Macaca fascicularis: one gene and its partners. The protein of the gene in region 2 purifies or fractionates together with the protein of the main gene of each other region. This does not show direct contact. Links are inferred from orthologs where the notes say so. Each region holds a gene or a part of one and is shown on either strand. Other genes may lie near its edges. The genes, in order: RNPS1, UPF3A, UPF1 and RBM8A.

What was found.
Region 1: the proteins of UPF3A (region 2) and RNPS1 purify together in Homo sapiens (co-immunoprecipitation; 4 studies listed by BioGRID and IntAct, with this or other methods). This does not show direct contact. The link is inferred for Macaca fascicularis from reciprocal best matches to the Homo sapiens genes UPF3A and RNPS1.
Region 3: the proteins of UPF3A (region 2) and UPF1 purify together in Homo sapiens (affinity purification with western blotting; 5 studies listed by BioGRID and IntAct, with this or other methods). This does not show direct contact. The link is inferred for Macaca fascicularis from reciprocal best matches to the Homo sapiens genes UPF3A and UPF1.
Region 4: the proteins of UPF3A (region 2) and RBM8A purify together in Homo sapiens (co-immunoprecipitation; 4 studies listed by BioGRID and IntAct, with this or other methods). This does not show direct contact. The link is inferred for Macaca fascicularis from reciprocal best matches to the Homo sapiens genes UPF3A and RBM8A.

Annotation. Positions count from the first base shown.
Region 1 is NC_088394.1:3,038,368-3,046,355, reverse strand, and holds the start of RNPS1 (RNA-binding protein with serine-rich domain 1), read left to right. Parts: upstream 1-2,854; 5' UTR 2,855-2,912; coding exon of another isoform or gene 2,913-2,914; 5' UTR 2,915-4,106; exon of another isoform or gene 4,107-4,844; intron 4,845-6,213; 5' UTR 6,214-6,330; coding exon 6,331-6,401; intron 6,402-6,634; coding exon 6,635-6,790; intron 6,791-7,658; coding exon 7,659-7,850; intron 7,851-7,988. UniProt on the Homo sapiens protein: Part of pre- and post-splicing multiprotein mRNP complexes. Auxiliary component of the splicing-dependent multiprotein exon junction complex (EJC) deposited at splice junction on mRNAs.
Region 2 is NC_088391.1:104,540,958-104,548,337, reverse strand, and holds the end of UPF3A (regulator of nonsense transcripts 3A), read right to left. Parts: intron 5,735-7,380; coding exon of another isoform or gene 5,674-5,734; exon of another isoform or gene 5,577-5,673; coding exon 5,282-5,576; intron 2,250-5,281; coding exon 2,121-2,249; coding exon of another isoform or gene 2,006-2,120; 3' UTR 1,231-2,005; downstream 1-1,230. UniProt on the Homo sapiens protein: Involved in nonsense-mediated decay (NMD) of mRNAs containing premature stop codons by associating with the nuclear exon junction complex (EJC) and serving as link between the EJC core and NMD machinery.
Region 3 is NC_088393.1:19,231,268-19,239,265, forward strand, and holds the start of UPF1 (regulator of nonsense transcripts 1), read left to right. Parts: upstream 1-3,792; 5' UTR 3,793-4,043; coding exon 4,044-4,274; intron 4,275-7,998. UniProt on the Homo sapiens protein: RNA-dependent helicase required for nonsense-mediated decay (NMD) of aberrant mRNAs containing premature stop codons and modulates the expression level of normal mRNAs.
Region 4 is NC_088375.1:113,488,363-113,495,654, forward strand, and holds RBM8A (RNA-binding protein 8A), read left to right. Parts: upstream 1-2,699; 5' UTR 2,700-2,726; coding exon 2,727-2,793; intron 2,794-3,076; coding exon 3,077-3,136; intron 3,137-3,267; coding exon 3,268-3,345; intron 3,346-3,535; coding exon 3,536-3,672; exon of another isoform or gene 3,673-4,001; coding exon 4,002-4,138; exon of another isoform or gene 4,139-4,247; coding exon 4,248-4,293; 3' UTR 4,294-4,454; downstream 4,455-7,292. Other genes in the region: GNRHR2 (gonadotropin-releasing hormone II receptor), read right to left, coding at 5,772-6,008.

The DNA of each region.
Region 1 (7,988 bases), on a different chromosome or scaffold from region 2:
GCACCACCAAGCCCATCACCAACCCTGTGTCCCAGGCCACGAGCCTCTAAGCGCAGGCACTGCAGAAGCCACCAAGCAACAGAGGATGGAGGCAGGGAGGACATTCTGCCTTCATGAGGGCATGCCCTCAAAGACAGAGTCGCCCCAAACAGTCAGCAGGTGACCCTCAGCTCTGGGAAGGCAAGGGGAGGAGCTCAGGGCCATGGCCAGAGCCCACGAGAAGCCTGTGCCCAGCACTGCAGTGCTCTGGCCACTGCATAATGCCGTGTCCGCAAAGCCCTGCCTGCCCCCTGCAGCAAACCAGGGCCCCTGAGGCTCCAGAAGCCCCAGCTCCACTACCCTCAGCCTCCATGGCCTTAGCAGCCTGGCTCTGGGGCTGAGCTCCTGGAAGGACAGGGTGGGGGTAGGCTCCTGACTTTTATTTTCTCACGTTTCTTTCAGACATGCTTCTGCTGATCCTCAAAACGGCAAAAGCCAGGATGCTCAATTCTCAAAGCTCAACAGCTGATGGCACATTTGATGACAAAAATCAGTAATATTTAGAAACAATTTTGATTAAATTCATAAGTGCCTGAATAAATCATACTCGTCGATTTAATATAAAATGTGTGAAAGCTTATTCGCAGGCCAAATGAAATTACTGCAGAGCATTAAAAATCAGCAGGGGGAGGGCTGTCAGCCCAGCTGGTGCTGCGTCACCCCCACCCATGTCACGTGGGGTCACCAGGCTGCCCCTCCCCACCAGGTGTCAGTGGGGCCCTGGGCATGGGCTCTGGGTTTGGGGTCCTTCAGCACCTCTCTGACCACTGGACTCCAATGCACCTGAGAGAACTCCGCCTGTGCCTGCCTGGACCACTGAGACTGCCCCCTCCCCTAGCACCGACTCTGGGGCCCCTTCAGCAGGGGGGCGGTCCCTCTGTTCCACTTAACCTTCCATGCCTGGGCACAGCAGGTGTGACAGTAATGCAGAGAATCTAACTTACATGTCATCAAACCCAAATCCAACGGGGGTACCCAAACCAGACTGATGGGCCTGCCAGCCTCCACCCACAGGAACACACTGGTGACTTAGTGCGGTGGACTCGGGAGGTAGCTCCTCCTCCCAGCTGCCTTTGTCCCCAACTCCTCGCACATCCCTTAGCCCAGGGTGAAGAGTCAAGGGCACACCTGACACCCTCGGACAGGGCCAGAGGGAGCGGGCCCGGGCAGGAAGTCACCAAGAGCTGGCTTCCCACACAGAGAAGAGGGCAGTGACGGCAGACCACATCCCCACCATACAACCATTCACCCGCCCACCCACTCTGGGTCACCGAGCTGCACCCTGTCCTTTGCTCTGACATCTGAAGTCTCCAAGTCATGCTGGTTGTCTCCTCCCAAAGATCCGCTTGGATCTGCTTCCTTCTCCCTTCCTTGCTGCCAGGAAGCTGTTCAAAGTCGGAAGCTGAGCACACAGTCAATCCCTCCACAAATAATCAAAGGGCAACGACTACCTAACAGGCACAGCAGTGAACAAAACCCGGCCGGGGGCGGTGGTTCACGCCTGTAAAGTAATCCCAGCACTTTGGGAGGCCAAGGCGAACCTAGGAGCGAGCACTTTTGGAGCGAGCCTGAAAGCCTAGGAGCGGATCACGAGGTCAGAAGTTCGCGACCAGTCTGGCCAACATAGTGAAACCCAGTCTCTAATAAAAATACAAAAAATTAGCCGAGTGTAGTAGTGTGTGCCTGTAATCCCAGCTACTCGGGAGGCGGAGGCAGGAGAACCGCTTGAACCCGGGAGGCGGAGGTTGCAGTGAGCCGAGATCGCACCGCTGCACTTCAGCCTGGGCAACAGTGCGAGACTCTGTCAAAAAAAAAAAATTCCGCCGCGTCAGTGTGGGGCGTTGACGCGGAGCCTCCTGCCTGGGCCCCTACAGCGTCACCCCCTCCTCTGTGCCTGCCAGAGGCGCCACCTCTGGACTCTCCCAGAGTCGGACCCTGGTCGACAGTGTTCCCTGCTCGGACCCTGCACCGGCCGTTAGATGAAGCCTCGGCGCTGCGCCGTTCACACGCTCCGTGCTGCCTCCACTGAGAATTTGGCGCGGGCCTGCGAGCCTGTGCCCCGGCCTCCCTTCCCTGCTTCCAGCGAACCTCGGCGTCTGCTGTTCCCCCGCCGGGCGCGCCCTTCCACTCTAGTCTCAGCGGCAGTGTCACCTGCCCGGAGACGCCCCCCGTTGCACCCCATCTCCCATCCTCAAGCTCGTTGCTCTTCCTGCCCGCACAGCCCGCCTGCAGCGCCCACCCTGGAGGTCCGCCTGCGCGGAGGCCGCGTCCACGAGAGCACCCCAAACGCCACCAGTGGGTTTTGACCGCAGGAACGCAAGTCCTGCCCCAGCCCGTCTCTCCGAGCTACTTCCGCCCTGCAGGCCCCCACGCCCCGCCACGCAAGGCCGCAAAGGCTGCGCACCCCTCCTGTGCGACCACCCTGCCGCCCTCAGCACAGCCGGGCCTGGAGCCCCGCCTCCACCGCCGGCGACAGGGGCCAGAATCGGCCCGGGCGGGTCCAGGGAGCCCGCGCAAGGAAAGGGGCGGGGCACGGCCGCGATAACACCCTCCGCTCCGGACGACGAGCATCGGTTATCGCGCGGCCCTCCCAGGCTCAGCAGGCTACCCATGTGCTCGCTCCAGCAAGCGTGCAGCCAGTCCGGTCAGTCCCAGGGACTTTACCGGCGAGGAGACACCCTGAACGTCCCCAACGCGGCTACCACAAACTGCCTTGACTGTCTAACACTTCCCCGCCGGCGCCCATTGGGCCAGGCGTTTACGTCATCGCTACGCGCCGGACGGCGGCGTCTTCCCGCTCCTTGACTCTGACGTCAGAGCGGCGCCGGCCTCGGAGGCTGAGGAAAGCAGGAGGAGGTGGTGGCGGCGGGAAGATGTAAGTTGGGGCGGAATCCGACCGCATCCGTGTTTCGGGGGCTGCCCGTCAGGCCCGGCAGGACGCATCGTGAAGCCGGTCCACTTCTCAGCCCCGCAGTGCGGCGGTGGCCTGGCAGCGCGGTGCGGGCTCCGAGAAGAAAGAGTGTGGCCCGGGGCGGGCGGAGTGGGAGGTGTCGAGGCCGTGGCCCGGAAGTGATCGGGGCCGCCGCGGACGGAAGGGCGCCTCTGCTTCGTCCGCTCGGCGGTGGCCCAGCCAGGCCCGCGGGACTCGGAGCAGCGGTGAGCGCGGCCTCCGTTCTTGGGGCCCTCCCGCCGGGCCGGAGACCCAAGCCCCCAACGCCAGGCGCTGCCCTGGAAGCGCTTGCGGCCCGGCGCCTGGACGGGGAAGTTGTGAGTGAACGCGGACGGGGAGCGGCGAGGTCGGCGTGTCGGGCCGGTGCCGGCGGGCGCGGAGTTTCTTTGTGGGATGCGGTGGAAGGTCGGCCGATCCATCCTTCGGAGTCATTAATTCAAACGTGTACTCCGCGAACGTTTCCCGGACTCCCGTGTGCAATTGTCGGCGCTAGGCCGTGGGGATACGGCCCACTATGGACCGAACACGGTGTCCGAGCTCAGTTTGATGGGTTATCCCAGAGGGGTGGATACGGGAAGGTTAAGGTTGATGGAGGAGAAACGTGGAGTAGGCTTTTTGTCTTGATTTCTCATGAACTGTGCCTGAAATGTACTCTTAAATGGGGAAGGTGCTCTGAAGATTTATGCCGAAACGCCCTCTCCTCGAGATTTAACTAATTGTTCTCTCCTCTCTCTGGCTGTTGGACGCGCACCTTTCCGGAGGATGGGGGAGGTAACCGAGGTCCTGAGCCGGTACCTGAACTTGGGTGAACAGAGAACCTCAACTTTTGCTTTCTAGCACTCGACCGCACCCAGCGAGCCGTCCGCTTACTCAGTGGTTCTTAGTGTTTGGACTGCTTGAGAATAACTGGTGGTGTTTGATTCCACAAAGTACATTTGGGCAGATCTTTAAGTCTGGGGGGGTGGGGCTGAAATCTGCGGGTGTGACCTCCACTCTAGGTCTGTGCTGTCCAGTGAAGTAGCCATTGGCCACATGTGGCTACTAAGCATGTGAAATACAGCTCATCAAAACTGAAATGTTAAAACACATACCAGTTTTAGAAGACTATGAAAAAAAAGTAAACTTTTATTAGTAGATTTTTATGTTGATTATATGTTGGAAAGATAATATTTTGGATGTGTCAAGTGTTAAAAATTTCACCCATTTTTGTGATGTGGCTACTAAGGAATTTCAGGTGATGCTTGTGGCTCCTCACACTGTTTCTATTGGACATTTCTGCTGCAGGTGATCCTAAGGCAGATGAGTGCAGGAACCCTGCTGAGAGTTCAGAAATTACGTGTGACTTTGGAGACAAATGTCTGGGGGAGGGAGGAGCCTTTACAAATCTTGCTCCTAACATTATTGAGCTTTTCATTAATGCCCTGGGTAACTATAAAGTTGGAATTGTAATTGTCACCATATTGATAAGAAACTTGAGAAAGGTTAAGTGACTTGTCGAAAATTACACCGTAAAACCTCAAATCAAACCCAGGCCCTCTGGTTGCAGACTCTGAATTATACTCTGAATGATACTCACTGACTGTCCGAGGACACCAACAGTGTCGAGGCACTATCTGCTGGGTGTCTGCAGAACCTTACTATTCTAAAGCAAAACATGATACCCCCGGACAAGAGCAGCAGAGGTGGTGTTCGGCCCTCCTTGGCTCATTTGACTGTTTAAAGCCAGGTGCTTTTCTTTCTTGGGTCAGAACACGTTTTCAGCAGCATTTTGAAGCACCCCTGGCAGGTACTGCACAGGGAAACCAGGACCCCATTGGTGTGCTGTGTCCTCCTTACCAACTGGCTCTTGGAGAAGGTGAGACAGAAGTAGCTGAGACTCACATCCTGAGAGCTGCACTTAACAACTCCTGCAGCTTGTGCAGAACTTTACTGGAAATACTGAAGGCGTCCCTGGAAAATAGGGCCCATAACTAATTAGTTTGCTTTTGAGTAATGAGTAACCGCTATTTGAACACATTCTGCAGTCCAGGCATTTTGCTAAACTCTTACATGGCAGGCAGTCTCTCATGCAATTTCAGTGCCTACTTTTTTTTCATCTTATTTTTGAAAAATTTTTAAAGCACAGGAACGTCAAATTATACAATTAATACCCACATAAAGACTACTTAAGGGCCAGGTCTGGTGGCTCACGCCTGTAATCCCAGCACTTTGGGAGGCCAAGGTTGGCAGATGACAAGGTCAGGAGTTGGAGACCAGCCTGGTCAATATGGTGAAACCCTGTCTCTACTAAAAATACAAAAATTAGCCAGGCTTGATGGCAAGCACCTGTAGTCCCAGCTACTCAGGAGGCTGACGCAGAAGAAACGCTTGAACCCAGGAGGTGGAGGTTGCAGTGAGCCAAGATCGTGCCACTGCACTCCAGCCTGGGTGACAGAGCAAGTCTCCATCTCAAAAAAAAACAAAACAAAACTCAGAGGTTAAGAGTCTGTAAGTTATATTTCTGCTGTATTTGCTAGATGGTTTTTATCAATCTTAGTTTTTCTTTCAATCTTAGTTTTTCTCAATCTTAGTTTTTCTTTCAAAGTAAATTGCAGACTTGCATGTATTTTCCCCTACACTCAATATGCATATTATTAAAGTACAGTGCAATTACTGCTTTTTAAAATGATTCTTCTGCTTTTTAAATGTTCATATGGTACGTTTCATCTGTTTGCTTTTGGGTATTAAGTGTTTTAATGCTGGTACCAGTCACTTTTGAAATGATTTTTGCTTCCAGTCACATCCGTGTATCCTAAAGGCAAATTGCCACAATAAAAGAGGAGATCTAATCCTATCTGGAGACCACCCTTGAGTTAGGTTTTTCTCTGTTCTGCATGTGAATGTGGTGCTGTGGCATTTTGAAAGGACTGCAGGGGCTCATCAAACTTGTGGGTGAAAACTGAATTGTTCAGCCTGTAAAATAACAGTGATGGGCCCCACCATCTCCTCCATTTTTTTTAAGAAAAATATAAGTGGGGGCGACAGTTGTGCCTGTGCCTTCTGTGCAGGGTAGAGATGCCTCCATGAGCACATGGGGATTGTCCCTGTGTGTTCCTGACTGTGCGGACACTCATTGCTTACTGTGCTCCCTTGCTGTCTTTTTGTGTGCTCAGCTTTTGACTGCAAAGTAGACTTGTTGCCTTGCCAATTCGTTCACTCTTTAAACCCTTTTATCTTGTTATTAGGCTGCTCTTTGGCGTAAATTGCAATCGATTAGGGATCGTTTCTCAAAATCAAGTTAGAAGTGAGAGTTCAGATAAGTGAGGCCGCCATTGCTGCTTTGAACACCTCAGAAGGGGAGAATGGATTTATCAGGAGTGAAAAAGAAGAGCTTGCTAGGAGTCAAAGAAAATAATAAAAAGTCCAGCACTAGGTAATCCTTCTGTAAGATTTTTCTAGTGCTACTTGGGGGTGCTTACTGCTAGGGACCCGCAGAAAGGGGGAAGTGGAGAATGTTCTGCATTCTACAGTCAGTGTTCTGAGCCACAGGCCACTTTACTCTGATCACCTGGGGTTTCTGTGGCCCTGCTGATCCCCTCTTTTGGGTTGTGCTGTTTGGGTTTGGTCAGAGGAGCACACAGTCTCACACTCTTCCTCACCATCCAGGGCTCCTTCACCCACCAAACGCAAGGACCGCTCAGATGAGAAGTCCAAGGATCGCTCAAAAGATAAAGGGGCCACCAAGGAGTCAAGTGAGAAGGATCGCGGCAGGGACAAAACCCGAAAGAGGCGCAGTGCTTCCAGTGGTAGCAGCAGTACCAGGTGGGGCGGGCTGGCCTGGAGTCTGGAGGGGACCTGTGCCACAGCCACACCCCTACTCCCCACAGATGGCTCAGTTTTCTTGATTATTTACAATGAAAACACATCCTCTGATTGTTAGTACAGACCCTAATTTATGGCAGACTGGCCAGGTGTAGTGGCTCATGCCTGTAATCCTGGCCCTTTGGGAAGCCGAGGCAGGAGGATTGCTTGAGGCCTGGAGTTCAAGACCAGCCTGGGCAACAAAACAAGAGCTCATCTCTACAAAAAGTAATTTTTAAAATTAGCTGAGAGTGGTGGCATGCATCTGTAGTCCCAGCCACTTGGGAGGGCTGAGGCAAGAGAGTGGCTTGAGCCCAGGAGTTTGAGGAAAATAAAATTAGTCGGGTGTGGTGGTACATGCCTGTACTCCCTGCTACTCGGAAGGCTGAGTCAGGAGGATGGCTTGATTCCAGGGGATGGAAGCCGCAGTGTGCGGAGATCATGCCACTGCACTCCAGCCTGGGTGACAGACCCTGTCTCAAAATTAAAAATCAATCAAGCCTGGGTCAGCCTCAGCCAGCAGCTGCCTTCCCAGCCTGAGTTGACAGTTCCGACTTTTGCCAGAGTCCTTTGCCTCTCAGCAGGAAAGGCTTCTGTATGGGTAGAAGGCCGCCCGTCCCCTCCGTCCTGTTCCACACACAATGTGACACCTAGGGCTCTGGCTTGCTGGGGGATTGGGGGGTGATGTTTTCCCCATTGGGGAAAGCAGTGAGGCCTGGAGACACCCAAACAGCAGCCTTCTCCTGGAGGGAACGCAACAGACTTGGAGGAGGCGTCTGTACTGTGAGACTTGGCACGTGGTGGTTGTGACACCTCATCTTGCCCTCAGATCTCGGTCCAGCTCGACTTCCAGCTCAGGCTCCAGCACCAGCACTGGCTCAAGCAGTGGCTCCAGCTCTTCCTCAGCATCCAGCCGCTCAGGAAGCTCCAGCACCTCCCGCAGCTCCAGCTCCAGCAGCTCTTCCGGCTCTCCAAGTCCTTCTCGGCGCAGACACGACAACAGGAGGCGCTCCCGCTCCAAGTGAGTGCCCTGTGTCTGGGATCTAAAGTTTACAAGCTGGGGGCTACAGATTTACCATTGACGTTATAAAAGGGACCCAGAAGGAGTCTTTCTGTGTTAGTAGGATTTCTGAGACAGGAGTAATGCAACTAGTGGGAA
Region 2 (7,380 bases):
AGGGAGACATCTCTCCACACTTGCACCATCTTCACAGACTCAGGTGGGATTCGATGGTCAAAGCTCTACAAGCATCGGCCACTGACCATCACTACCTGGTACTTATTGTCCAGCACCAAGATGCTCAGGTCAAATTCTTTGCTATCCTGAAAGGGCATAGTTTTGGATTTCACCTCAGGCTTCCAGGCCCCATTCTCATGCTGTTTGTGACCACACAACGGCCAAAGTACACTTAGAAACGGAAGGTGACGTCTGAGTCTTCATTCATCCTGGTATGGAAATCCACCTGCAGCTGTGGTTCATTGATGAAACAAACAGCTAGTTTTCCTTTGTCAAGTAGAACCAACAGACAAGAGTACAGCCTGTGTGTGTGGCGCAAGTAGTGGTGACACTGTTGTCTCCCTCTGGGTGGCCCTTCTGAATTGTGTTTAGTATTCTTTTTTTTTTTTGGGATGGAGTCTCGCACTTTTGCCCAGGCTGGAGTGCAGTAGCGTGATCTCGGCTCACTGCAAGCTCCACCTTCCAGCGTCATTCTCCTGCCTCAGCCTCCGGAGTAGCTGCAATTACAGACATCCGCCACCACGCCCGGTTCATTTTTTTTTTTGGTATTTTTAGTAGAGACGGGGTTTCACAGTGTTAGCCGGGATGGTCTCAACCTCCTGACCTCGCGATCTGCCCGCTTTGGCTTCCCAAACTGCTGGTATTACAGGTGTGAGCCACCATGCCTGGCCCTGATTTTTTTTTAAGAGTGGGTGGGTTAATTTGCTTGTCGTAACTAGCGTTTCGTCTTTCTCTCTCACTCTGTTAGGGCAGATGCAGACAGTGTTTGTTTAAGAAAAATTAGCCAAGTGTGGTGGCACACGCCTGTAATCCCAGTACTCTGGAAGCTGAGGCGGGAGAATTGCTTGAACCCAGGAGGCGTGGATTTCGGTGAGCTGAGATCACACCATTGCACTCCAGCCTGGGCGACAGAGTGAGACTCCATCTCCGAGAAAACAAACAAACAAAAAGACTTTCTAAGTCATTCTCTCTCCTTTTGAAAGTCTGTGTAATATTTACCAGTAAAATATTTTAAGGCCTTACCTTTTGGAATTTTTTGCACATTTTTGACAGCTGCTCAGTGTCATCCAAACCAAGAAAAGAGAAGATCTGTATGATTATGCTGTCAGGCATTTGAACTAACAAATCAGAATTTCCCTGACACAGATTCAAAGAACATGTCAATACTTCTTTAACAAAATTTGTATTTAATAAATGGTTAAAATCGCAGTGCCAAAAAGACATTAACATTTAACAATTTCACTGAAAGGAAGAAACTGTAGAATGCACGGTTTCAGAAAGCTATTTTAAGTTATTTACAAATAAAGTATCTAAAACTCAAAGACAGGCTCTATATGCTATACCTAGTTTATCCCTTCCCAAACAAAATTTCTGTTATTTGGGCAAATTCTTAAACCGTGGTTTAAACTGTAATGGTTACAAACCAGAAATGCATCCATCCAAAGACTGTGAAACCATTTTCATCCGGTCAGTGGCAAAACTGTTGAAAGGGCAATAGTTGAAGCTGTTGGGTTTTAAATACTGGGAACTCTGGTATATATTCCTACCAGGACTAAAACACAGCACACTCTGCAGGCATGGCTGACTCACGGAGGCTGTAACAAACAAGAACTACTCTTTACTCGACAGCACAGCTCAGAGGCCACCGAGAGGCACGAGAGACTGACAGCTCCTCTGCCTATAAATGAATGAAGCCCACACTGGATGTCGTTCTCACAGCACTGAAAGTGCTTCAGGACTCACACTGATCCAATACTAACTTTCTTCCCTATTTTACACATATTTTTCTACTGTCCAGTGAAAATCATTTTCTGTTTTGGCTGAAAAACAAATATTAGTTTATAACAGGAATGGTAAAATCCGTGAGAATTCTGCTCAATTTAATACAAGATCACTACTTTCTTTAGAATGGTGTCTGCGTGTTTCTGTGTCACCCTCTGTATTTTTAGCTTCCAGTTTCCTGGTAAGGAGTAAGTTCTCCTTTCCAGTCACACTCGGGGTCCTTTACACGTTTCTGAGATTCCTTCGCTTGTCCATGGAGGCCAGGTGCACCCAGTGACTCACTCTGCCTCTTCCCTCTTCTCGGGACCAGTCCCCGAACCTTCTGCCTTGCAGATCCTCCCACTTCCGCCACGCTCTCGTGCTCGGAAGCGAGCTCCTGGATCATACAGCTGCAAGGCCGGCCGGTCCTGCCAGGATAAGAGGGCATGTTACTCTTCCAAGGGCTGGCAACACAGAAGGGTCAACATCTCCTTGTATTTCTAGAACTTGATAATATGAATTGTCCAAAGAAAATCAACCTGGCAGCTAAAAATCAGCCCTTTTCACAGCACTCTCTCAGAATTCTCAGGCAATTTAAAAAGCCACGTAAATGTCGGTTATCTGGGCAAATGTTACTGCTCACACCAAGAACACCTTGTAATCTGAGCTGGGGAGGTGAAAACTCAAACATGTCCACCTCAGTCCCTAGGCCTGAAACAAAATGAGATGTGGACCCTCAGAGATGGCTTCAGATCTGCGAACTCAAACTGTTATTAACGTGAGTGGTAAGCAATTTCCACGGGGCTTATCCCTGCCTAGCATCTACCAGCAGGGAAACTGAACTGCTCCCTTTTGGGAAAACACTACCCCATCATTTTATTAAATTCCTGGAGGCAAAGCAATAAAAATGAACCAAAAAATCCATGAAGGGTAACTGTTCAGGGCCTGAAGGCAACAGCCAGGGAAGCACAGAGTGGCCCTGAAGGCCAGAGTCAGCAGCGACAGCAGCACAATTCCTCCCTGACGGGGCCACCAGCCCTGCCCCAGCACTGAAGGGGTGGCAGAGGAGGAAGGTGGCTTCCCGCTTCCCGAGGCCTGTAGCCTCCCGCTCCCTGCCTATTCTCCCTGCTGAGCTGCAGCCTTGGCCTCCAACAGTCACCAGGAGCCCAAGTGTGGGCTGCAAGGACGACCATGTGGACACATCTCACACACTTCTCCAGGATTCACCAGCTCATCTTTACCTTCTCCTGGACTGTGTGTGGAAGCCCACATCAGGTTGCCATCAAGGGGTTTAACTGAATTTTCTTTTCCTTGGTATGAACCTGACCAACGGGAGGGGTGCGAACAGGCTCAGCAGGCCCCTGCACCTGAATGCTCCTGTGGGGCGGAGACAGGCTGCCTGGAGCCAGCATGCACAGCTTTTTTTTTTTTTTTCCTGAAACAAAGTTACACTCTGGTTGCCCAGGTTGGAGGGCAACTGCGCAATCTCGGCTCACTGCAACCTCCACCTCCTGGGTTCAACTGATGCTTCTGCCTCAGCCTCCTGAGTAGCTGGGACTACAGGCGCGTGTCACCACGCCCGGTTAATTTTTATATTTTCAGTAGAGATGGGGTTTCGCCATGTTGGCCAGGCTGGCCTCGAACTCCTGACCTCAGGTGATCCACCCGCCTCTGCCTCCCAAAGTGCTGGGATTATAGGCGTGAGCCACCACACCCGGCCGACAATTCGGCTTCTTACCAGGGCAGTACCTGTGTACACAGATGGAGCATGGAACCTGACCTCAGAAGTACATGACAAATGCCAGGCTCCCGGGAAAGCAGCTCCTGCACACATTCCCACCACAGCACTGTGAGGCTACACAGAGGAGCGAATGCTCCCCCACCTCAGGTCAGGGGAGCACCACGCCATTCACCACTGCTAAAATAAGGCAACTGAAAACTGAGGACTCCCTATCGAAGAGACCCATGGCTGTACTTTGTGCCCCCAAGGTCCAGGCAACCCCAGAAAACTGTGGAGTATTCTAGAGGTGTTTATTCAAGGGTGAAGACAAGAAGGCTCTCCTCTGGCTTTCAGCCTTGACTTCACTGAAACATTTTTTTTTTTTTAGACGGAGTTTTGCTTTGGTTGCCTAGGCAGGAATGCAATGGCGTGATCTTGGCTCACTGCAACCTCTGCCTCCCAGTTTCAAGTGATTCTCCTGCCTCAGCCTTCTGAGTAGCTGGGATTACAGGCACGCGCCACCACGCCCAGCTATTTTTTGTATTTTTAGTAGAGATGGGGTTTCACAATGTTGGCCAGACTGGTCTCGAACTCCTGACCTCAGGTGATCCACCCGCCTCGGCCTCCCGAAGTACTGGGATCACAGGCATGAACCACCACACCCGGCTACACTGAAACACTTTAAAAGTGAACATCGGGCCGGGCGCGGTGGCTCAAGCCTGTAATCCCAGCACTTTGGGAGGCCGAGACGGGCGGATCACTAGGTCAGGAGATCGAGACCACCCTGGCTAACACGGTGAAACCCCGTCTCTACTAAAAAATACAAAAAACTAGCCGGGCGAGGTGGCGGGCGCCTGTAGTCCCAGCTACTCAGGAGGCTCAGACAGGAGAATGGCCCGAACCCGGGAGGCGGAGCTTGCAGTGAGCTGAGATCCGGCCACCAGCCTGGGCGACAGAGCGAGACTCCGTCTCAAAAAAAAAAAAAAAAAAAAGTGAACATCGTTCCTACACACAACAACCTGGAAGGATCTGAAAGGAATTAGGCTGAGTGACGAGAGCCACTCTCAAAGCTCACACACTGTGTGTTTGCACTCATCAAGCATTCTTGAAATGACAAAATCACAGAGGCAGAGAACAGACAGTGGCTGCCAGAGGTCAGACATGGGGAGGGAGGTGAGTGGGAATGCGAACCCGAGGCAGCCCTCAGTTTGCTGGGAGCCGGGGTGGGGCCTGGTGCTGTCAGAAGGGTGATGCCGTCTGTAGTGCTGCGCTGGGAAAACGCAACCTGAACAAAAATCAGCTTCAAACTTCTGAAAAAAAAAGCTGTTTGCTTGGCTAAGGGGGTAACCACAGTCCTGTGCTCAGCGTCTGTGCAGAACTAACTTCAGGTGTTTGTCAGCCACGGGAATATTCACTAATAATCAGAATGTTATTGATAATGTGGAAGAAACCTCCATGAAATATTAAAACTTTCCTTCCTGTCTCAAGGGAAAATTTAATCTTATTCTCAAGTGAATCATACAAACGTGCTAGTTTTATACTAAATAAAATCTTTCTTTTTCCTGGTGAAAAATAATTTGACTCTCTGAGAAAACATGACGATTAGTCTCACTCTAGGATCTGACTTTCAGGAATAACGAGCTTCCCAAGACACAAGGCCAAGTGGGGGTGACACGGTCAGCGTGCAACCTGGACCTTAAGACAGCCAGACAGATTTTTCTTTTTGGGTTTAATAAAAACCTTGTTTGCCAGTCGCTCCTTTCTGGGTGCTGGACCGTCGTCACACCTCTGTGCTCTTCCCACTCTCTCCGTGGCCTCCCCCGGAGCCCCGCTGTCCTGGCTCCCCTTCTTCCCTCTGTCTTGGCCAGGTCCTTTCCCCCATCTCTGCTCATCTTCACTCCTTCTGGAAAGCCAGTCAGGCTCGTGGTGAGCTCTGTGCCTCCTGCCGTCATCCACATGGTGTCTTTGTGCTTCACATTCTTTTTCTTGAGATCTCTCCACATCCCTGTACTCTTTATCACTGCCGCTGCGTGACCTGTGGTTCAACCCAAGCATCAGCGACTGCAGTAACCGCCAGTCGGCTGCTCACCCTCCTTTCTAGCCCGCAGGTTCCCAGACAACAGGGGCCCGTGTCAGCACTGCACTGCTGAGGCTGCACTGTGATGGGCACACAGCAGGCACTGACAAAAACCACTACAAAGAAGAATAAATCATAGTAATAATATTTGTCATTTCAGTTGAGTGACAGATAAGCAATATGCCTCACGCTAAGGTACTTTTTATACATATTGTCTAATTCTCACTAACCTTCCAAAGTAAGTATCTTCTTTCGGCCAGGCATGGTGGCTCACGCCTATAATACCAGCACTTTGGGAGGCCAAGGTGGGTGGGATCACCTGAGCTCAAGAGTTGGAGACCAGCCTGGTCAACATGGTGAAACCCCCTCTCTACTGAAAATACAAAAATTAGGTGGGTGTGGTGGCGCGTGCCTGTAATCCCAGCACTTTGGGAGGCCAGGGGCAGGCAGATCATTTGAGGTCAGGAGGTTGAGAGCAGCCTGGCCAACATGAAGAAACCCCGTCTCTACTAAAAATACAAAAATTAGGCCAGGTGCAGTGGCTCACGCCTGTAATCCCAGCACTTTGGGAGGCCGAGGCAGGCGGATCACCTGAAATCAGGAGTTCGAGACCAGCATGACCAACATGGAGAAACCCCATCTCTACTTAAAATACAAATTTAGCCAGGCACGGAGAGGCATGCCTGTAATCCCAGCTACTTAGGAGGCTGAGGCAAAAGTGCATGAACCCAGCAGGCGGAGGTCGTGGTGAGCTGACATCATGCCATTGCACTCCAGCCTGGACAACAAGACGAAAATTCCATTTCAAAAAAACAAAAAACAAAAATTAGCCAGGCGTGGTGGCGCGTGCCTGTAATCCCAGCTACTCAGGAGGCTGAAGCAGGAGAACTGCTCAAACGTGGGAGGCAGAGGTTGCAGTAAGCCGAGATCGTGCCACTGCACTCAGGCCTGGGCGACAGAGCGAGACTTTGTTTATCAAAAATAAAATAAACCTTCTTTTCTACAAAGTGACTGAGACTAAAGTGGTCCAGTGGCTGTCCTGGGAGCCCAGGTGCACATCCATCATGATGTGCAGAGTAAAATTAATTGACATTTAATAATGGCAGATCCATTATCTTTATGCATTTATCAGAATATTAAATGAATAGTAAATAAATGGCTGCTTCGCTCATTTGGCAGGGCTAGTGGGGACCATGAGGATCTGTAACCAAGCGTGAATTCACACCAGACACGTGGCAGTGTCAAGAACAGTCACAGTAACGACACCCATAACATAACCCAGTGCTTCACAATCACGGATTTGATAATCAGACATAAATTTTATAAACAAAGCAATAAACCAAAACCCCCAAGAAGCAGAAAGAATACTTCATCAACTCTGAAAGAAAGGCAGTGAGAAATCACCCCTACGACTGTGACTCTGGGAAGCTGGCGGCCTAATCCCCTTAGTCTTCCCAAGTAAAACCCACGTCCACCATCCCCTGCGAGCCAGGTGGCCCTGGGCACCAGGAGACCGTGGGTGGTGAGATGTGGTGAGTGGGCAGGAGTCCCAGAGGGGAAGGCAAGCCCAGGGACCCAGGGTCCTGAGGATGGTGGGTGCCAGGAGCAAGAGGGACAAGATCCCCCGACTGGCATCTGGCTGGTCTCTCTGGCCCACCAGGCAGATGCTGCTGTGTCTGTCCCTTTTGCAGATGAGCTCCCTCCACAGAGCTGCTCCCTCCACAGAACTGCTCCCTCCACAGAGCTGCTCCCTCCACAGAGC
Region 3 (7,998 bases), on a different chromosome or scaffold from region 2:
GTCAAAGTGGGAGAGGGGCAATTAAAACTCTGAAAGGTGGGCTGGGTGTGGTGGCTGAGGCCTGTAATCCCAGGACTTTGGGAGGCTGAGGAGGGAGGATCGCTTGAGCCCAGAAGATTGAGACCAGCCTGAGCAACATAGTGAGGCCCTGTCTCTACAAACAAACAATTTAAAAGACAGCTGTGTGTGGTGGTGCATGCCTGTAGTCCCTGCTACTCATGAGGCTGAGGTGGGAGGATCCCTTGAGCCCAGAAGGTTGAGACTGCAGTGAGCCAGGTGACACCACTGCACCCCAGTCTGGGTGACAGAGCATGACCTTGTCTAAAAATAAATAAATAAATAAAAACTCTGATAGGTGTTACTAAATTGATCTGAAATTTGTCTACAAATTCATCAGGATGTGTTCCAAAGAGAGCTTTGTATGATATGAAAATTATCTGTTGGTCTGTCAGTATTACCCCTTAAACTGTGCCTTCCTAGACAGGCAGACTACTTTTATTCATTGTCTATATTCCTACAGTTTAGTGCATGCTAGGAGCCCCCCTCCAAATGTTATCTTTATTTTTTATTTTTTGTAGAGATGGGGTTTTACTGTTTCCTAGGCTGGTCTGGCACTCCTAACCTCAAGTAATCGTCCCACCTCAATCTTCCAAAGAGCTGTGATTATGGATATGAGCCACTATGCCTTGCCCCTGAAAAAGAGTGAAGAAGGCTCACACCTGTAATCCCAGCACTTTGGGAGGCAGAGGCAGGTGGATCACCTGAGGTCAGGAGTTTGAGACCAGCCTGGCCAACATGGCAAAACCCCATCTCTACTAAAAATACAAAAAAAATTAGCCGGGCGTGCTGGCAGGCACCTGTAATCCCAGCTACTTGGGAGGCTGAGGCAGGAGAATTGAACCCTCCTGCTTGAACCCAGGAGGCGGAGGTTGCAGTGAGCCAAGATTGCGCCACTGTATTCCAGCCTGGGTGACTGAGTGAAACTCCATCTCAGGAAAAAAAAAAAAAAATGTGAAGAAGGAAAACAGAACCTCTGTTCCTGTCATGATAAACAGGCAAATTGGAAAATAAGGAACCATGGCAAATCAGGACCTTTTAGCTCAGCTGTGCAAGCTAGGCGCTCTTTCAGCTGACTTATTTAAAGAGCAGCAGAATCTTGGGACAGAAAGGGAAATGGGGGATGTTTTCCAAGATACTTTACCAGAGAGGAAGCGGACGCCTGGGGTTAGGAAATTAAGGCCCATAAACCAGTAGCTTACCTGGGATTTAAAGTGTCAGAAGACTTTTCATTGAGTACCTACTATATGAGGCATCATTCTCTCCGTGCGGAAGATCATAATGAAACAGGCCAACCCCCTGTCCTTATGGAACTACATGTTAAGAGTGACTGGTAGTTCATTTATTCCTCTCATATATATACATATATATATAGAGAGAGAGAGAGTGTATATATATATACACACACACACACACTCCCTATCTATATATAATAGAGTGACTAGTAGCTCATTTATTCTTATATATATAGTGTGTATATGTATGTATATATACATACTGTCTATCTCTCTCTATATATATAATAAAGTGACTAGTAGCTCATTTATTCCTCTCATATATACAGTGAGATATATAATATACACCATATATATATCTTTTTTTTTTTTGAGACGGAGTCTCGCTCTGTCGCCCAGGCTAGAGTGCAGTGGTGCAACATTGGCTCACTGCGGCCTCTGCTTCCTGGGTTCAAGCAATCATCCTGCCTCAGCCTCCCGAGTAGCTGGATTACAGGCACGCACCATGCCCGGCTAATTGTTGTATTTTTAGTAGAGACTGATTTCACCATGTTGGTCAGGCTGGTCTCGAACTCCTGATCTCAAGTGATCCGCCCGCCTCGGCCTCTGAAAGTGCTGAGATTACAGTCGTGAGACACCACGCCGGGCTCCATTATATACATACATATATATATGTGTGTGTGTATATATATATATATCAGCAGCAACCATATATCACATGAGAGGAATAACCGAGCTACTAATCACTTTATTAATATATATTAACATATATAAATATATATTAACATACACACACACATACGATCTCTGTCACCCAGGCTGGAGTGCAGTGGTACAATCATAGCTCACCGCAGCCTCAAACTCCTGGGCTCAAGTGATCCTCTTGCCTCTACCTCCTAAAGTGCTGGGATTTCAGGAAAGAGCCACCTTGCCCAGGCTTCCTATCCTACCTTAATGGCAACAGAAACCCTAGGCTCAGAGAGTTTAAGTCACCTGTATAATTTATTTTTTATTTATTTATTTATTTTTTTGAGATGTGGTCTCGCTCTGTTGCCCAGTCTGGAGTGTAGTGGTGCGATCTCGGCTCACTGAAAGCTCCATCTCCCGAGTTCATGCCATTCTCCTGCCTCAGCCTCCCCAGTAGCTGGGAATACAGGCACCCGCCACCAGCCCAGCTAATTTTTTGTATTTTTAGTAGAGACCGGGTTTCACCGTGTTAGCCAGGATGCTCTCAGTCTCCTGACTTGGTGATCCGCCCGCCTCGGCCTCCCAAAGTGCTGGGATTACAGGCTTGAGAAACCGCGCCTGGCCTACCTCACTTGTATAATTTCACACAGCTGATAAGTGGTTAGCTCTAGATTCCACCACACACCATGTGCTTCCTGTTGTTTTGCTGTATATGTCCACTAAATAATAATCATAGCAAAAATAGTAATTGTATAATGACAGCGGCAGAGGCATCAGGAACAGCAGCAACCATCATTTCCAAGTGTCAGGCCCAGTACCTAAGACTATCCCCATTCATTTATTTTTACTTATTTTTGAGACAGGGTCTCGCTCTGTCACCCAGCCTGGAGTGCAGTGGTGAGAACCACCACACTTAGCTAATTTTTTTTAGCTATTTTTTTTATTTTATTTTTTGAGACGGAGATTCACTCTGTCGCCCAGGCTGGAGTGCAGTGGCACAATCTTGGCTCACTGCAAGCTCCGCCTCCTAGGTTCAAGCGATTCTCCTGCCTCAACCTCCCAAGTAGCTGGGACTACAGGCTCGTGCCACCACGCCTGGCTAATTTTTTGTATTTTTAGTCGAGACGGGGATTCACCGTGTTAGCCAGGATGGTCTCGAGTTCCTGACCTCGCGATCCGCCCGCCTCGGCCTCCCAAAGTGCTGGGATTACAGGCGTGAGCCACCGCGCCCGGCCTAAGTTTTGTATTTTTTGTAGAGATGGAGTCTCACTCTGTTTCCCAGGCTGGTCTCGAACTCCTGAGTTCAAGCCGTTCTCCCGCCTCAGCCTCCGAGTGTTTGGGATTACAGGTGTGACCACCGCGCCGAGCCCCACCCCCTTATTAAACCAATGCACAGGGAGCATCTACTATGTGCGAGGCACCCCCCATTTTACAGATGGGGAAACTGAGTTCCAAGCAGCTTTTGCCAGGAGTGGGAGCGCGTCGTCCCTGCCCAGCCTCTCCAGTTGGGCATTTCGAGATCACCTACGTAGGCTATTCGGCTAGCGCTTAATTAAACCGAAACACTGTCGCAGCGACCACAGGTGCAGACCACCACGTCCACACCACCCGCCGCCCGGGAGTCCCCGATTAGCAGTTGGGGCGGGACCAAGTCCTCGAGGGGCCGCCGCGACGGCGGTTGAAAGCCTCACCCCCTGCGCGTGCGCGTTGAGCGTCCCGTCGTCCCGCTGGGCACCCGGCGTCCGCGAAGAGCGCGCGCGCTTCCGCCGGCGCCGGGCTCGCGCACGCGCACGGCGACGGCGGCGGTGGCGGCAGTTCCTGCCCGGGGCTGCGAGCGGCGGGCGGCTTCGAGGGGAACTGAGGCGCGGAGGGGCTCGGCGGCAGCGGCGGCGGCTCGGCGCTCTTACATCTCGGTTCGGCTGGCGCCGGGGAGGGCGGTTCGGTCCTTTCCAGGCGTACGGGGACGACAGCGGCAGCGAGCCGAGGCCTGCGGCCTAGGCCTCAGCGCGGCGGCGGGCTCGAGTGCGGCGCGGAGCCGGCCCGAGGGCCCTACCCGGCAGCACCATGAGCGTGGAGGCGTACGGGCCCAGCTCTCAGACTCTCACTTTCCTGGACACGGAGGAGGCCGAGCTGCTCGGCGCCGATACACAGGGCTCCGAGTTCGAGTTCACCGACTTTACTCTTCCTAGCCAGACGCAGACGCCCCCCGGCGGCCCCGGCGGCCCGGGCGGTGGCGGCGCGGGAGGCCCAGGCGGCGCGGGCGCGGGCGCCGCGGCGGGACAGCTCGACGCGCAGGTGAGCGGCACATGGCGGCGCCGGAAGCCCGGGCCTTGTCTCGGCGCCTGAGACCTGTCCCTAGCCCGTCTCGGGCCGGGCCTGGGTTTGCCCGGAGTCCCCCGTCGCGGCCGGGCCTGGGGCGACCTGCCCCGGGTCCCCTACTCCGGCTGGGCCTGAGCTTACCTGCCCCAGGTCCTGCACTCTGCCCGGGCCTGGCCTGATCTGCCCCGGGTCTCCCGCTCCGGCCTGGACCTGGCTGAGTTCCTTCGGCCCCCAACTCCTGGGCTGGGCCGACTTGCCTCGAGTTCTCCACTCCGTTCGGGTCCGAGCTAACCTGACCCTCTTCCTTTACTCCGGCTGGGTTTGCTCCTCCGCCTGGGCCCGGGCTGACCTGCCTTGTGTCCCACAACCAGCCTGGCCTGGAGTAACCTGCCCTGGTCTGAGTTCTTCCACTCTCTCCGGGCTAGGGTGACCTGCCCTGGTCCCTCTTTCTCAGGTCTCGGTTTTCTGCCCCGAGTTCCCCTACGGCCTGGGCCGGGTCTTGCTCAGGCCGGATCTTGAGTGACTTCCCTCAGTCCCCTTCCGGGAGTATCCAGGGTGACCTGCCCTAATCCTGTCTCTGGCCTGGTCCGGGGATTCTGCCCCGTCTCCCCAATGGGGGGTCCGGCCGCACTGTCCCACCTCCCATCTGTGGTCACAGCCATCTGGGCATCCCCCCTTCCACAGTCACGGAGCTGTAGGTTCGAATTTTCCCAAGCATAAGGGCGCTGGTCAGCGGAAGATTGAGGCAGGGAAGAATTTTTGCCTCCCATAGAGGAGCACACATTGGCTGGCTATTAAGATCATTCAGGAAGCAGTTTGTATTTTATTTTTTCTTGCATCGCCTGTTGCTGAAACCGACCTGTTACATAACTCCACAACTCTTGCCTTGGAAAAGTTGGGTTTGAGTTTTGTTCCTCCAATAAGACAGCAGTAATGGGTTTACATAAATGCGTCTGCCACGTTGGAAACTCATTTTTAATGATGTGGATGTTTAGAGAAGGTTACTTAGGTATTTAAATGGGGGCTTGGGTTGGGAGAAGTATCAGGCATGCATTTCCTGGTCCTGGGTGCTGCCTGCCTGGGGTGGGAGAGGGGCTGGGGGGGCGCGGGTTGCACCGGGCTCCAGGGGCATGTCCTCATCATCCTCTGGATCTCAGGTTGCTTTCACTTTAGGCTTGCTTTGTGCCTGACCCCTCGCTCAGGTTTATTTTCCTGACAGGGAGTAACTCCGAGGCTCACCTTGGCACAGGTGTCCCTTGGCATGTGCTGGTGTTTCAAAGCTGGGAGAACCACTCCTTGCTCATCCTGAGTGAGCTCAGACCCTGTCCTTGCATGAGGGGGGCTTACGTGGTAGTCGGCTGAGTCATTCCCGTGGGTAGACCACCCACTTGGGCTTCCTTTTAGCCCCTAATGGAAGCAAGAAACATTTGACTCATTCTAACCCCATATTCCTTAAAATAGAAAGTTGGGTGTGAGGAGAACAGGTGTGCACGTATGGGTGGTTTTTTCAGTTTTGTTTACATTTTGTGAAGGTGGGGAGGGAGAGAGGAGAGGTCCCTTGAAGAAGGGAGCAGGACCTGCGGAGGCCCCGCCTCCTTGTAGTTTTTATGCCCTGTAGACCTTTCTGCTTCCGCAGCTGTGAAATGGGGGTGGCAGTTGGATTTTTGTTCCTTTTAAACATAAAGGAAACCTAGATCCATGTGTGAGTCGACTGTATAGGCTGTTTGTAATCTGAAGTCCAGCCTGTCGGGGAGACTCAGGGTAAAGATCTCTGTGGAGCAGTGAGCCATGAGCGTGACAGCGCGGATAGAGGGGTTGGCTGGTGTCAAAGGTAATCATTTTCTTGTGAATCCTTTTAACTGTGGCCAGCATAAAACAGCAAACCTGGGGCAGCCTTTAGTTCTACTTTTGTTTCTGGCATTCCGTTTGGGATTAAGTGTGGCGCATGTCCTTCTCTTTCAGTTGAAACAATTGATTTTTTTCCGTGCACCTGAACACACTGGGCTGTACAAAAGGAGAGCATTAAAACGCTCCCCTGGAGGTAAACATTGCAGTTGAGCTCACTAGAGTTCTGATGACATCAGATGGTTTGTCCTGTGCTACTTTTAATTGACCCAGATGCCCCACCCACCTGTTACCTGTAATTTGGATTTGTTAGTGGGGAATGGGAGTGGCATCCCTTTGCATCACAAGGGGAAGACCGGAGTTTGGGGGCAAGGAAGTCTGTGTATATAATTCAAGGGAAAGCGGAAGAAAGTTATCACTTGTGTGGATTGATTTGGGAAGACTTTCCCTGTTTGTCCTCAGGAGTTGGCTGTGTAACCAGCTGTTAAGTTGGGGGCTCCTGGAAGGACTCAGAAAGCTTCTCATTCTGTTTTTTAATTTTTATTTTACTGGGCAAGTGGCAATCAGCTGTCAAGTGCCCTGCAGTCACTTTTGCTTAACAGCTTTATTGAAATAGAATTCACTTGCCGCACCATACAGTTTACCCATTTAAAGTGTACAGTTTGGCCGCTTTTATTTAGTATATTCAGAGTTGTGCAGCCATTACCACAGTAAATTTCAGAACATTTATGTCACCCCAGAAATAAACCCTGCACCCCTTAGCCCATCTGTCCTCCCTTCCCCAGCCCCTGGCAACCACTCACCTGCTTTCTGTCTTAAGATGTGCCTGTTCTGGGCATTTCACATGAATGGAATCATATCATATGTGGTGTTTTGTGTCTGGTTTCTTTCACTTTGCATGATGTGTGAGAAGTAGCTACAAAGCTCACCTTGTAGCTACTCCCTGACCGAGCATTCAGGAAAATGAACCTGATCGAGGTTCATCCACGCTGTGGCATGTGTCAGCATTTCATTCCTTTTTTTTTTTTTTTGAGGCAGAATCTCGCTCTGTTGCCCAGGCTGGAGTGCAGTGGCGCTATCTTGGCTCACTGCAACCTCTGCCTCCCGGGTTCAAGCGATTCTCCTGCTTCAGCCTCACTAGTAGCTGGGATTACAGGTGTGTGCCACCACGCCTGGCTAATTTTTGTATTTTTAGTAGAGACGGGGTTTCACCATGTTGGCCAGATGGTCTCGATCTCTTGACCTTGTGATCCGCCTGCCTTGGCCTCCCAAAGTGCTGAGATTACAAGCGTAAGCCACCACACCCGGCCAGCATTTCATTCCTTTTTAAGGCTTAGTAATATTCCATTGGTGGAATGGTCCAGATGGATGAACCATGTTTTGTTTATCTTGTCTTCTGTTGATGGACATTTGGGTTGTTTCCACCTCTTGGCTCTTGTGAATAGCATTGCTGTGGCCATGCATGTACAGGTTTCTGCGTGGATGTGTTTATAGACGTGCTGGGCCGCATAGTAACTCTGGGTTTAATGGTTTCAGCAACTGCGAGACTGTTTTCCAGTGTGTAGCCGCTTTCCATACCAACCGCACCTGAACTGATTTCGCACAGTTGGTTTTTCCTTAATGTCTGTTGAAAGACAAGAGTGTGTGTCCCCACCGGGGTGGGAAAGTGGCAGCAGGGGTGACTCCCTATACTCAGGGCTGGCTCAGGTAACACTCCTTTTCTTGTTTATGAAATGAAACTGGTATTTATCAAAGCCCTTGAGATCCTGGGATGAAAAGCACTGACACAGTATTGCCAAGTGTCCTTAAGATAAAGGGACAGTTTTCGAGCATCCGACCCTTTCCTGGGCCCATC
Region 4 (7,292 bases), on a different chromosome or scaffold from region 2:
GCTTTATTTTCCAGTCACATAGCATCAGGCAGACAGAATATCCTGCCATTCTAATATTCATTCATTCAATAAGTATCTATCAGATGTCTACCATGAGCCAGACATTGGGCTGAACTTTAGGGATTTTAGTTGTAAATAACTATCTCTGCCATAAGGATTACACTCTAATGGGAAAAACAGACAATAAGTTAGAAAGTAAACAAGGTAATTCTGACTGGCCTAAGTAACATGGCAAGACTCTGTCTCTACAAAAGATTTTTTAAAAATTAGCCGCATGTAGTGGCGTGTGCCTGTAGTCCCAGATGCTCAGGAGGCTGAGGCAGGAGAATCACTTGGGCCTGGGAGATTGGCCGCTGTGAGCCATAATTGCACCGCTGCACTCAGCCTGGTTGACAGAGTGAGACCCTGTCTCAAAAAAAAAAAAAAAAAAAGAAGATTCTGATTTAAGTTCTGTGAAGGAAATACACAGTGAAAGATAGGAGGGTACAGAAGATCCCTTTGGGTGACAGTACTATTGAGACCTTAAGAATGAGGTCGAACTCGGCTGGGCGCGGTGACTCACGCCTGTAATCCCAGCACTTTGGGAGGCCGAGGTGGGTGGATCACAAGGTAAAGAGTTCAAGATCAGCCTGGCCAATATGGTGAAACCCCGTCTCTACTAAAAAAATTTTAAAAAGCTGGGCGTGGTGGCACGTGCCTGAAGTCCCAGCTACTTGGGAGGCTGAGGCAGGAGAATCACTTGAACCCAGGAAGTGGAGGCTGCAGTGGGCCGAGATCGCGCCACTGCACTCCAGCCTAGGTGACAGAGCGAGACTCCATCTCAAAGAAAAAAAAAAAAATGAGTTCGAACCCAATATGTGAAAAGCTAGAGGAGAAGAGCACCAGGAACAGAAAGCTGCGGGGAGCAGTGGCTCATGCTTGTAATCCAAGCACTTTGGAAGGCTGAGAAGGGGGGATGATCAGAAGTCAGGAGTTAGAAACCAGGCTGGCCAACATGGTGAAACCCCATATCCACTAAAAATACAAAAATTAGCTAGGTGTGGTGCCGCACGCCTGTAGTCCCAGCTACTCAGGAGGCTGAGGCAGGAGAAGACTTGAACCCGGGAGACGGAGGTTGCAGTGAGCCAAGATCGCATCACTGCACTCCAGCCTGAGCGACAGAGACTCCCGTCTTGAAAACAAAAACAAACAAACAAGTTGCAAAACCCCTGGGATGAGAAAGAGCACACCACCATTGGGCGAAAGTGCAAGGAGAGCTTCATGGGTGACGGAGAATGGTGGTAGAACAGGTTGAAAACACAGAGCAGGCTATGTGAGTTAAAAATTTTATTTTAAGTGCAGCAAAAAGCCAAAGAAAGAACCAGGTGCAGGGTTACACGCCTGTAGTCCCAGCTGCTTGGGAGGCCAGAGGATCCCTTGTGCCCAGGAGTTTCGGGCCAGCCTGGGTAGTATAGCCAGACCCCTCTAACAAAAAGGGTTTTTAGGCCGGGCACCGTGGCTCATGCCTGTAATCCCAACACTCTGGGAGGCAGAGGCTGGTGGATCACCTGAGGTCAGGAGTTCAAGAGCAGCCTGGCCAACATGGTGAAATCCCATCTCTACTAAAAATACAAAAATTAGCCGGGTGTGGGGGCGGGCGCCTGTAGTCCCAGCTACTTAGGAGGCTGAGGCAGGAGATTCGCTCGAACCCCGGAGGCGGAGGTTGCAGTGAGCTGAGACCGCCACTGCACTCAGCCTGGGTGATAGAGCGAGACTCCGTCTCAAAACAACAAAAAGGGTTTTTAGTAGATATGTAACCAACTGATTTTTAAAATGATCACACTACCTACGTGGAGAATAAATTAGTGTCTCCTAATCGCTTTGAAATTTTTCGTTTTACTCTTTTTCACTTTTTTTTTTTTTTTTGAGACGGATTCTCGCTCTTGTCCCCCAGACTGGAGTGCAGTGGCAAGATCTCGGCTCGCTGCAACCTCCATCTCCCAGGTTCAAGTGATTCTCTGGCCTCAGCCTCCCGAGTAGCTGGGATTACAGGCGCACTCCACCACGCCCACATAATCAACCTCCGTCTCGGGTTCAAGCGATTCTCCTGCCTCAGCCTCCCGAGTAGCTGGGATTACAGGCAGGGAGTTTTATCTTAAAAAAACCAAAAATTGATATCGGTCTCACCAATCATATTGCAACCAGGTCTGTTAGTTTCCTGAAGAGAAATTAGGTGCTGCAGTACGTTCCAGAAGCAGCTCTTTATGCCCGTATTGCTGATCAAACTATTTTTTAAAGACGTTCCTATCATACATCACCTTGCCTCGGAACAGGGTACAGGCCTGGGATTTTTGATAGAAAAAGGTGTCTTCAGTGACCATTTCCCAGTTTGGGATGAAGAGACATAAAGAAGCCCTCTAATAAGGAAATTACGCCGGGCCTCACTGTTAATAGTACAGTATCTCTCAGCAGCTGCCGCGGTTAAGAGGAATCCACTGACCCCTGTAGTCTGCACCTCCCAACATGGCAGCATTTAGCTCGCGACCTGCTCAAGATGGCCACAGAAACACTTCCGGCATCTTTCCGAACTAGGCCCGCCCCAATTTGCGTATTTTTACCGTGCAGAGGGAGGGATTTAGAGTTAGCCTTTGATTGGTCAGCTTGACTGGCGACCTTTCCCCTCTGCGACAGTTTCCCGAGGTACCTAGTGTCTGAGCGGCACAGACGAGATCTCGATCGAAGGCGAGATGGCGGACGTGCTAGATCTTCACGAGGCCGGGGGCGAAGATTTCGCCATGGATGAGGATGGGGACGGTGAGGACAGTGGAGGCGGCCGGGCGTAGCGGGGAAGGTGTGAGAGAAGGCTATAATAGGAAAATTTACTCTCTTTTCTCCCGGGTCGTGAGGATGGGAATCGGGGAACCGGGTCTTGGATGGATTAGAGATTCCGCCCCCTTTGGGAGAAGGGAGGGCGTGACCGGGAAGGCACTGAGACTGGAGGCGGTTTGGGTCGGCTTGCAGACAGTGTCTTGGGAAAGAAACGATCATTACAAATGACTGTCATGGTTACTTACTCTTTTATCTTCTGGGGCTCCAGAGAGCATTCACAAACTGAAAGAAAAAGCGAAGAAACGGAAGGGTCGCGGCTTTGGCTCCGGTGAGTGTGGGGAGAATGGGGTAGAGTGGCCTAGTAGGGCAGGAGCCCCGGGTTTTGGAGTCCCCACCCAACTCATAGGAACAATGGGAGAAAGGGAGAGTTTTCGGTGATCTCGTGTGTGTCCCTTATAGAAGAGGGGTCCCGAGCGCGGATGCGTGAGGATTATGACAGCGTGGAGCAGGATGGCGATGAACCCGGACCACAACGCTGTGAGTAATAATGGAACCTGTGAGGTATCCGTGCCTGTGGTAGTAGTTAGAAAGCGATAAAATAGTTAAGCAGTAGGAGTGGGTTCAGAGATAGCTTAAACAATCTGAGTCCACACTCACTCTACTCCCGTGAGCCTGCTTGAAGCGTTTCTCTCATGTACTCATACAACTTCCCCCCGTCCCCCAACAGCTGTTGAAGGCTGGATTCTTTTTGTCACTGGAGTCCATGAGGAAGCCACTGAAGAAGACATACACGACAAATTCGCAGAATATGGGGAAATTAAAAACATTCACCTCAACCTCGACAGGCGAACAGGATATCTGAAGGTATTCTAAGTGACACTTTATTGCCTCCTTTCTTTCATAACCCTTAGACAGCATTGGTAGTTCTGTGTTTGCTGTGGTTGGCCAAGAGCAAAGTTAAAATAAAATGACATTGGATGTCATTTTATTAAATAAAATGACATTTAAAACATGGATATGTTTTGTCAGACACGCCAAAGAGACAGACATGTTGTATATATACAGAGATATATGATGTACATTCATTGCTTAAATTTTATAGATTTTTCTGAGTTTAGATTTGAGGAAAAAGGTACTCAGTGATGCTTGGGGAAATAGGAGGGTTTTCATATCTGTCTTTTTACTTTCCCCAGGGGTATACTCTAGTTGAGTATGAAACATACAAGGAGGCCCAGGCTGCTATGGAGGGACTCAATGGCCAGGATTTGATGGGACAGCCCATCAGCGTTGACTGGTGTTTTGTTCGGGGTCCACCAAAAGGCAAGAGGAGGTAAAATGAAGAGGGCAAACACTGGGTGAAGGGAATATGAACAAAACAGAATGAGGAGGCAGTATTATGTCCCTCTGATGGACTCTTCTCCCTGCTTCTTTTTCCCTAGAGGAGGCCGAAGACGCAGCAGAAGTCCAGACCGGAGACGTCGCTGACAGGTCCTCTGTTGTCCAGGTGTTCTCTTCAAGATTCCATTTGACCATGCAGCCTTGGACAAATAGGACTGGGGTGGAACTTGCTGTGTTTATATTTAATCTCTTACCCTATATGCATACTATTTGAGTTGCGAATAAATGTTCCATTTTTGTTTTCTACATTTAATATTACTTTCCTATCATAAAATTGAAAGTTCTAAAGCATAGTAAGGCTGTATGGATCATTGTGAAGATAATTCTAGGGACTGAACTCTATTTCTTTTTTTTTTGAGATAGAGTCTTGCTGTGTTCCCCAGGCTGGAGTGCAGCTGCGTGATCATAGCTCACTGCAGCTTCAAACTCCTGGGCTCAAGCCATCCTTCTGCCTCACCCTCCCTAGTAGTTGGGATTACAGGCACATGCCAGCATGCCCGGCTAAATTTTTAATATTTTTGTAGAGATGGGGTCTTGCTGTGTTGCCTGGGTTGGTTATGTGAATTTCTATACTAGATACAGTCTCAAGTTTCAGGTAGGGTTTAAAGTAGACACTGGTCAGTATTTCTTTTTTGGGGGAACTAGGAGAGCAGGAGTAGAAGTGAGATGTTAAGATCTTATGGTATTAAAGACTTATTATTTTGTTCCTATATACTCTGTTAGGATCAGATAGATGTTATAGAAATGTCTTTTGTTTCTCCTGCACTTCTTGATGTCACAGTTTTTTGTACTTCCTGCTGTCTAAGGGCATGAATCTCCTGTTGGAGCATTCTCCCAGACCCTTCGTTAGAAGAGTCTATACTAAGTTCTTGGTGCCCTCTTTGGCAGCCAAGGGTGAAGGCCCCATAGAGGAGAGGATCCAAAGGAGCATTGAGGAGGCCAAAAAGGAAAAGGATGTGGCTCAGGCTGGGAGGGACTTCAGTTAGCATGGTGGGGGAGAACCAGTACCACAGACCCAGTAGGTAATAAGGTGTCCAGCAGAGGATGAAGGTCAGCAAGATAAGCAGGGCCGGTCTCAGGGCCCGGAGACGAACACGGGGACAATTGTCAAAGGAGCGGCAGAGGGCAAATTCACCAGCAGGGGCTAGGAATTTAGAAAATATACTGTAATTCAGAGTCTAAGCTTCTGAACTGAGTGTAGGGTGAACTGATGGAGGGGCATAGCTAGTGACACAGAGCTTGCCTCCTACAAGGAGGAGAATGCTGCAAACCCTTTTCCCCTTCCCATCCTAGGACTATATGATCTCTTACCCCCAGGGATTATCATAGAAATGTGAAGCCACCCAGTCTACTTTAAGACTTGATGGTGTTCAAGAATAAATAATACTGATTGCCTCCCTAGTCCTTGTCCAGCTAACTCAGCTGTTTATAATTGAAAGGATTCAACAAAATTAGCATCAGGTGCTAGACATATGGTTAGGATCTCACCACAGTTGAGTGACTGGTAGATAGCTATTAGGTAGGTGGATAAATGATGCTAGAGGCAACAGGTCTAGGGTTAAGGATTAAGGCCTGGGAATTGGAGTCTCACCATGGCTCCCCTTCCTTGTCTGAGGGCTGGACACACTGAGGACAATGTGGCTATAGCAGATGGCCATGGCAGTCAGTGGCAGCAGAAAGAGGCAGCGGAAGGTGAAGAGGTTATAGGTGGTCTCTTGCCATCGAGCCTTGAAGCTGCCTTTGGTGACACACTGAGTGAAAGGGACTGGGCCAGCTCGGTGGACGGTATGGAACAGGAACAGCTGGAGTGGAGTTCAGGACTATTAGAACTGGTTCCCCTCACCACCCAGCCTACCCACCTATGTCATACTGTCTCCTCCCAATTCATCCTTAATTCCAAGTGAAGCAGCACAGTGCTGAAAACAGTTCATCCATGGTGCCATGTTAAAGAGGTTGGAAATATGTCTTGAAAATCCTGCCTTCCTTTTAGGCTTGAATATGATGCTGAGCAGTGAGTTTGTTAAATCTTGGAACTTAAAACAATCCCACCTTCTCAAGTACTATTCTAACACTGCGCTTTATAAGGGATGATATTTCTACCACCTCACTCATATTTTTAGCTGAAATGATTTTCCTGGTATGTCTGTTATTTTGTGGAAAAAGAAAAACTGTGTAAAATAGGTGCTGCCAAAATTCCAGGCCATTTTGCAGTGACTCTGAAGTGACCTTTAGTAGTTATAGTCTTATGTGCAGTAACTATAATGGTAAAGAATGTTAAATAATAAAATTTAACATTTTCCAAATGCTGTTGGGCTGCCCCTCCCCCTTTTTGTTAAATTGCTGGGTTTTCCAACTGAATCAGTAAAAACTATTTCCGTTTAGAACTACAAGGTTAAAGTGCCTGGGTTCCAGTAATGCAGATTGTCACTATTAATTTGATAAAAAGTAAGCTCAGTAGGTATCAGATTCCTAGATACAAGGCATTTGGGACAGTGATTTTAGCAGACATGAGGGACATTTAGGAAAGATGAATAGTTTCAGCATAAGACAGAATTTTGAGAACTGTTTGGAGTTACAATCAGGCTACTCTGAGCTAGTTGGAAAATGTTCTTTCCTCTTCCCATCTCTTGCATTCATATATTTATAATTTGTTTTTGTTTTTGTGCTATGCCTAAGAAGTACGTGAGAATCGTGAGGAGTATAAAAATAGTCAAAGCTGGCTGGGCGCGGTGGCTCATGCCTGTAATCCCAGCACTTTGGGAGGCTGAGGCGGGCTGATCACGAGGTCAGGAGATCGAGACCATCCTGGCTAATACGGTGAAACCCTGTCTGTACTAAAGATACAAAAAATTAGCCGGGCGTGGTGGCAGGTGCCTGTCGTCCTAGCTACTGGGGAACTCCAGGAGGCTGAGGCAGGAGAATGGCTTGAACCCACGAGGCGGAGCTTGCAGTGAGCTGAGATTGTACCATTGTACTCCAGCCTGGGTGACAGAGCGAGACTCCAAAAAAAAAAAAAAAAGTCAAAGCCTACAAAAATAAGTAATTTCTAACCACCCCAATAGTACCCCTAAGGACTCCTAAGCCCT